Mus musculus: one gene and its partner. The protein of the gene in region 1 interacts with the protein of each later gene in a pairwise test. Links are inferred from orthologs where the notes say so. Each region holds a gene or a part of one and is shown in the gene's direction. Other genes may lie near its edges.

Region 1 (3,821 bases):
TTTACTGTCAAAATTGGAGGTGTGTCTTAGAATCCTTGAGAGAGAAAGGAAGAGAGAGAGAGAGAGAGAGAGAGAGAGAGAGAGAGAATATTGTGTGTGTATGTATGTATGTATGTATGTATGTATGTGTATGTGTATGTGTATGTATGAATGTGTATTGTGTGAGCGTGTGCGTCATAGGGTGTGGGTGGCATGGCAGATTCTTGGGTCCTAAATTCATCTTATGCTGCCTGAAAAAGACTTTTACCCACTCTGGGCATTTTCCCAGCCCAGAAAGCTAACATTTCTGTTCTAGTTTCCGTTTAGTCAAAAATAAGTAAGTAAGTTATTAATTAAATAAATATAACAACTTGGGGAGGAAGGAATTTGTTTCATCTTATAGTCTATCACTGAGGGAAGTCAGGCAAAGAACTTGAAATGGAAACCATGAAATAATGCTGCTTGCTGATTTGTTCTGGCTCATGCTTAGTAGCTTTTATATATAGCCCAGGAGTCTCTTCCAAGGGAATGGTGATGCCCACAGTGAGCTTAGCCCTTCTATATCAATGATCAAGACAACCCTCATAGGCATGCCCATAGGTCAATCTGATATAGGTAATTCTTCAGTGGAGGATTTTCTGTCTGGAGACTCTAGCCTGTGCTCAGATGACAGTTAAAACTTACTATAAAACTTAGTATAGGTTCTGACAAGACTAAAGGCTTAAGTCAGAGAATGCAGAAGAAAGAGACAACAGAAGCAGATGGTAAGTGCCTAGAATGCTGGTGGATAGGATATGTGTGGATAGGATGGATATAGAGGAACCCAAGGACAGTGTGCTGTGAGGTTACATTGAAAGCCAAGAAGCAGGTATGTAAGGGCTTTGTAAGCTATAGGATTTATTTGCCTCTCCTCTACAAAATCAGTGAGAATCAGGAACAGGCAAGATCCCATAAAGATCTGAAAACATATCTCCCCCCGCCCCCCCCCACATTAGTTATGGAAGCACATAGGGAGATGAACCTATGTATGATTCTAGGAGATATATTATATATTATATTTCTACGTAACAATGGGAGTCATATAGGAATATGCTCAAAGACATCAATCTATATGAAGGGAGATGGGACATGATTCAATATTTATTATCCTAAAGACTTTCTACATGAGCAACAAGAAAATCCATACAAAACCCAGGTGTGGTGGTGCATGTATCTGGACACTTGGAGAAGTAGAGGCAGGAAGATCAAAAACTCATTGTCATCCTCAGCTATGTAGCAAGTCCAAAGTTACCCTAAAATCTGCGAGAGCTCGTCTCAAGAAAGAAAGAAACAAAAGCATTGAGAACTGGAAGGAACATGCTTCTATTCACATCACCGCCCTTGTGTAGTAGGATGTTGTCAGGTTGGAGGATGTACTGGGGGGATATGGAGGGGAGCCTAGACTACTGAAGGGCAATGAGAAGTGAGATGAATCAGAGAGAGATGTAGAGGCAGAAAGGCTTGCTTGCCCACTGTTTGGAAGTGTCAGCAAGAAGCAAGGTCAAAAGGAGACCCCAAGTTTAGTCGAGAGAGCAACATATTATTTGGATAAAGGAAAAGGATCTGTTTGGGACACTGGGGAAGGAGTGGGTGGAAGGATGACAGCCCCTATTCTCCATCCACACCCTCCATACACCTCAAGAATCCTTTCCCTCTGAGTTTGCCTGCTACCCTCAGCTCTAGTGGTGCTTCAAGGGGTAGAGCACTCAAGATGGTAGGAGGATGACCTGAAAAACCTGTGCACTGTTTGTTGTCAGACTTTGGAATGACAAGGGACATCTACGAGACAGATTACTATCGGAAAGGGGGCAAGGGACTGCTTCCTGTGAGGTGGATGTCACCTGAGTCCCTGAAGGATGGAGTCTTTACTGCTTCTTCTGATATGTGGTGAGTTATACATACATGGGTGGATATTAGTGCTGGGCTTGAACTCCTGAAGGTGTCCCACTAATGTGCTCATCAGGAGGTGATAGAGGAAAGCCCATCTTTCACATATAGAAATGAAGGTTTATCTGTCTGGGTTCTCTTAGATGGCTATCTTTATGTATTGATTGAGGATAGTCTTAGAACTTATTCATGAATTATAATATAAATCACTGTGGGTGCATGCATGTGCATGTGTGAGATGCAGGTGTGACCGTGCTATGGCACAGATGTGGAGGACAAAGGACGACTTGTGGAAATCAATTCTCTCCACCCACCTCCGTATGAAGCCTGAGGATCTAACTCAGGCCATCAGGCTGGGCACCAAGTGCTGCCCACTGAGATATCTTCCTGGCTTGCACATCCAGGTCTTTACTCAGGTTTTTGGGCATTGAACTCAGGTCCTCATGCTTTGGTGCAAAGGACTTTGCCAACTGAGATATCACCTTAGTCCATCACTTGTTCTATTCATTGGTCAACAAAGTTCTAGTAAGCCAAAAGGGGTATTGAACAAATGTATCTGAGATAGAGACTATTGTACGTTTTGTTGGCTTCTTTGTTTACTGCGTTCAATTGTCATTGGCAGGTCCTTTGGGGTGGTCCTTTGGGAAATCACTAGCCTGGCTGAGCAACCTTATCAAGGCCTGTCTAATGAACAGGTGTTGAAGTTTGTCATGGATGGAGGCTATCTGGATCCCCCTGATAACTGTCCAGAGAGACTGTAAGTATAGAAAATATCTGGAGTGTGTGAGGGTTTGCACATTACATATGTTTTGTGTCTGTATATTTTAGGTACATATGCATGGATTTGGTTTGCAGGCCTTATGCCCACATATGTTTATATAGCATGCCTTTACATCCAGGCTTGTATTCGCATATTGTATCTTGGATGCCCACTTTCATTTTCACATGTGCCTACATATATGTTTATGCTTACATATATTTATGCTGGTGCATGTGTCATGCAGTTGACATACATATATTTGCATATCAAATCCATTTTAAAGATTTATTTTTATCTTAGGTATATGAGTGTTTGCCTACACGTATGTTCATAACATATATATACTTGGTGCCCAAAGACATTAGGAGAGGGTGTTAGGTCCTCTGGACCTGGAATTACAGGTGGTTGTGAACCAATACATGGGTGCCAGGAACTAAACCTTAGTCCACTTCAAGAGAAGCAAATGCTCTTAACCACTGAGCCATCTCTTTAGCCCCTTAAATCTTTTTTTTTTTAAAAATGCACTTATGTGTACCTGTGTGTAGTATATAAATGTGTGGAGGGCATCATCCTGAGAAGTACTTACTACTCATCTCCATTGAGACATGGCCCTTCATTGGTGTGGTTCTCACTGATTCAGCTAAGCTGGCTGGCCAGCCATTGAGTCCCTTGGATCCTCCTGCCTGTATCGTCCCAGCCCTGGGATTGTAAATGTGTACATTTTTTAAAAATTACTTACTTATTTATATTTTATTTGCATTGGTGTTTTTCCTGCATGTATGTCTGTGTGAGGGTGTTGGATCCACTGGAACTGGACTTACAGACAGTTGTGAGCTGCTGTGCAGGTGCTAGGAATTGAACCTGAGTCCTCTGGAAGAGCAGCTAGCCACTGAGCCACCTTTCCAGCCCCAAATGTGTACATTTTTTTTTTAAATGTAGGCTCTGAGGATCTAACTCAGGTTCTCAGGCTTGAGGGATGAACACTTGTAGAGTTTTCATTTGTCATAGTCAGTTGTCATTGAGGGCTTGTCTAGACAACGCTGGCTGGTGGGCATGTCGATGGGGATTGTCTTGATTGTGTTAGTTGATGTCACCTCTACGAGGCACCGTTTCCTGTGCAGAGGGTCCTGAACTCTCTATATAAAGTGGAGGAAGC
Region 2 (3,276 bases), on another chromosome or scaffold:
ATGGCTGAGCAGCTGCAAGGGGAGCCCTGGTTCCACGGGAAGCTGAGCCGGAGGGAGGCCGAGGCGCTGCTGCAGCTCAATGGTGACTTCTTGGTGCGAGAGAGCACGACCACGCCTGGCCAGTATGTGCTCACTGGCCTGCAGAGTGGGCAGCCCAAGCACTTGCTGCTGGTGGACCCTGAAGGTGTGGTAAGTGTGACAGAGGTGTGGCAGGGGCTGGTGTGGTTTTGCTTTCTAGACTTCCTTTGCCGGAGGCTTCCTGTGGACTCCTTTGCCCTTGCTGGACACTTGCATCCACCTGCAGTGGCTCAGGGTTCCTTCCCTGCTGTCCTCGAGTCTGAGCTGTGTTCTTCTCAGTTCTGACCAGTCCTCACATCCCAGTGAAGCCTGCCAGCCCCCAGAGAGTGCTTACTTGATCTTTTGCTAAGTGAGGAAATGACACTGGAAAGGCAGTGGTGCCCAGTGTCAGTGGTTAGGGGGTGGAGACCCCAAATTTTCTCTTGCAAGAGGAGTCAGGAGCCTCCCTAGCTCCTTAGCTTCAAACTCAGGGTTTTGTTTTGTTTTGTTTTGTTTTCAACAAATCTAACCTGCCTTACTATTCCATACAACCTTGGTTTCTTTTCTTTTTCTTCTTTTTTTTTTTAGGGGAGGGGTGGTGGTGAGGTTCAAGACGGGGTTTCTCTGTGTAGCCCTGGAACTCACTCTGTAGACCAGGCTGACCTCGAACTGAAGCGCTCCGCCTGCCCTGCTTCCCCAGCGCTGGGATTAAAGGCTGTGCCGCCACCGCTCTGCTCAGTTTCTTTTCTCTTCTCAGCATTTTTTCCACCTTGGTTTTGCATTGTGTCACTTTTGAGAGACACCAGCTTCCTTCAAGTCAGAATTTTCACTGTCAGCTTCCGTGATTTCTGGTCTCCTTCCCCTTCGCCCAGTTCACTGCCCATTCCCACCCATGTGACTGTCTTTTCTGTAAAGATGCCTGGATAATCACGGCTGCTGGCCCGCCTTCCTCAGTCTTCCTGAGCTCTTCTCTTGACCCAACCTTCTCTCCCTGCCTCCCAGGTTCGGACAAAGGATCACCGCTTTGAGAGTGTCAGTCACCTGATCAGCTACCACATGGACAATCACTTGCCCATCATCTCTGCGGGCAGCGAACTGTGCCTACAGCAACCCGTGGATCGGAAAGTGTGATCCTTCTCAGCTTCTCCAACAGGATGCTCTCCATTTCCGTCTCCCGTATTCTCTAACTTGTGGGACCTCTGTTTTGTGGGTCTGGCCTTGGGTGGGAACTGGGAGCAACGAGGACATGGGTTTAGTGCCCACTTGAGAGAGAGAAAAAGAGGGTTTCAGTAAGGAGCCTGGGGTAGCATCCTGCCTCTGGCCAAACTTCACCAAAGTATTAATGTGCAGAGTGGTCCCTTGTCTGGGCCTTGCCTGTGCCAACCTGATGCCCTTCCCCCCCAAAGGGTGGGTTCTTATAATGGAAAATGCCCTGTGATGATAGGCCCAGTGGAGCAACTGCCCTTTGGGGGAAGGGAAATAATTATACCTCTGGTTTACTCCTGGGTCTTCAGGGTACCCCAGATCCCGCATAACATATCCCACTCCCTCTGCTTCCCCTTAAACTTTGTGCCTTTGACTATCATAGGTCTGCAGATACTTAATGCAGAGTTCTCAGGCCCTTCACGTGTGGACAGGGGTTACTGCCACCTTGGCTTCTGGAGCCCTGTCCTATTCAGCACCCCTTCCTGTGTCTAGGGAGAATAGGGACAGGAGTGGCCGCTATCTGCTCTGCCTTTCGGATGTGCAGCCCTTAAGAGATTGCCCCAAGCCTGAATATGGTGGCGCACGCCTTTAATCACAGCACTCAGGAGGCAGAGACAGGAGGAATTGTGAGGCCATCCGATCTACAACAGAGTGAGTTCCAGGACAGCCAGGGCTATGGAGAGAGAACCTGTCTCCAAAAACCAAAAAGAGCGATTACCCCAGAGCCTTCTTCCTGATGGTAGCGGGGAGGGGCAGGACTGGACCCATCTTGCTCAGTGCCTCCTGACCTCAATGCCTTTCCTCCAAGGGGTCTGTATACATTTCTCAAGCCTGCTCCTCCCATGTTTGCATGTGTGTTATAGTCTACAGCCAAAGTATAGCCCTCACTGTAACCCCATCCTGCCTCCCTCCTTTGGGATAGGTGTGTGCGTCTGACTTGGGCCTCCAGGGTGTGTACAGTCAGTGTGGGTTTTGTGGAGGCAATAAGACTGAAGCAGTAGACAATCCCCAATACCATTTGCAGGTCTGGAACTGCACTCTCTTTTTTAAAAAACATGTATACATTTTAGGGCTGTAGATTTATTTTCCTGGTTTTGTTTTTCATTGCTGACTTTTGAGCACAGAATTATGATAATCAATTACATTTATACATCACCTCGATGACTTTTCCAAACTTTTATTTTTTTTTTTAAACAACTGTTGGGATTTTACTCCCTGGCCTTAACTAGGACAGGATTGTACCCCACTCCTCCCCCCCCCCTTTTTCTTTTTCGCCAAGACAACTGAGCAGAAATTTGGCTGAGCAGTGTTGTGGGACTATGATGTGATAGTTTTAGATCCTACCTTCTGCTTTCGGGCAGCTGCAGCCAGCACAGAAACCTTGCAAGCTCACTCTGTGTGTAGGCTTTCTGGACAAGGAATGGTCGCCAAATTTTTGGTTTGGATGTCTTATACCAAAGGGAAATAGTCTTCATTAAAGTTCGTATTTCTTTTACCTCGGCCTCTCAACTCCTCTGGAAAGTCTGATTGATGGGGGCTGTCTGTGGGAGGTGGTGACGGACCCCATCTGGGCTAGGTCCAGTGGGCTCCAAGCCAGCGCCAGCCCGCAGGCACCAGTTTGCAGAGATTTGGGGAGCTGCGAGGCTGTGCGGTAGGGACGTATCTGCAAGGCGACTGGCTCGCGGCGGGAAGGGGCGTGTCCGGACCGCCCCCAGGCCCACCCGCAGCTCGCACGGCCCCTGTCGAGTGGTGCGTTCCACTCTGCTACCGGGCTAGCTGGGCGGCGACAGGCGCACTTCGGAGGAGTGGCGTGGCGAGGCCCAGCCTTCCTGGGTGCGGCGTCTGGGCCCTTCCCTGCTTTCCCTCCCCACCGCGTTCCGTGGTGGTGACCCATTGGAGTTCCGGTTCCGGTTGCTGTGGCTGCGGGCGGGCGGTGAGTCTGGAGCAGGCGCGCAGTTGGTGCAACGGCTCTGTGCTTTCCCCCTCGGCGTGGCTAGGGCTTGCTGCTGCTCG

What was found.
Region 2: the proteins of Insr (region 1) and Shc1 interact in a two-hybrid assay, tested with the Homo sapiens proteins (2 studies listed by BioGRID and IntAct). The link is inferred for Mus musculus from reciprocal best matches to the Homo sapiens genes INSR and SHC1.

What each region holds. Positions count from the first base shown.
Region 1 is NC_000074.6:3,157,537-3,161,357, reverse strand, and holds part of Insr (insulin receptor isoform A preproprotein), read left to right. Parts: coding exon 1-19; intron 20-1,775; coding exon 1,776-1,905; intron 1,906-2,527; coding exon 2,528-2,662; intron 2,663-3,821. UniProt on the Homo sapiens protein: Receptor tyrosine kinase which mediates the pleiotropic actions of insulin.
Region 2 is NC_000069.6:89,427,258-89,430,533, forward strand, and holds the end of Shc1 (SHC-transforming protein 1), read left to right. Parts: coding exon 1-189; intron 190-1,059; coding exon 1,060-1,188; 3' UTR 1,189-2,772; downstream 2,773-3,276. UniProt on the Homo sapiens protein: Signaling adapter that couples activated growth factor receptors to signaling pathways. Participates in a signaling cascade initiated by activated KIT and KITLG/SCF.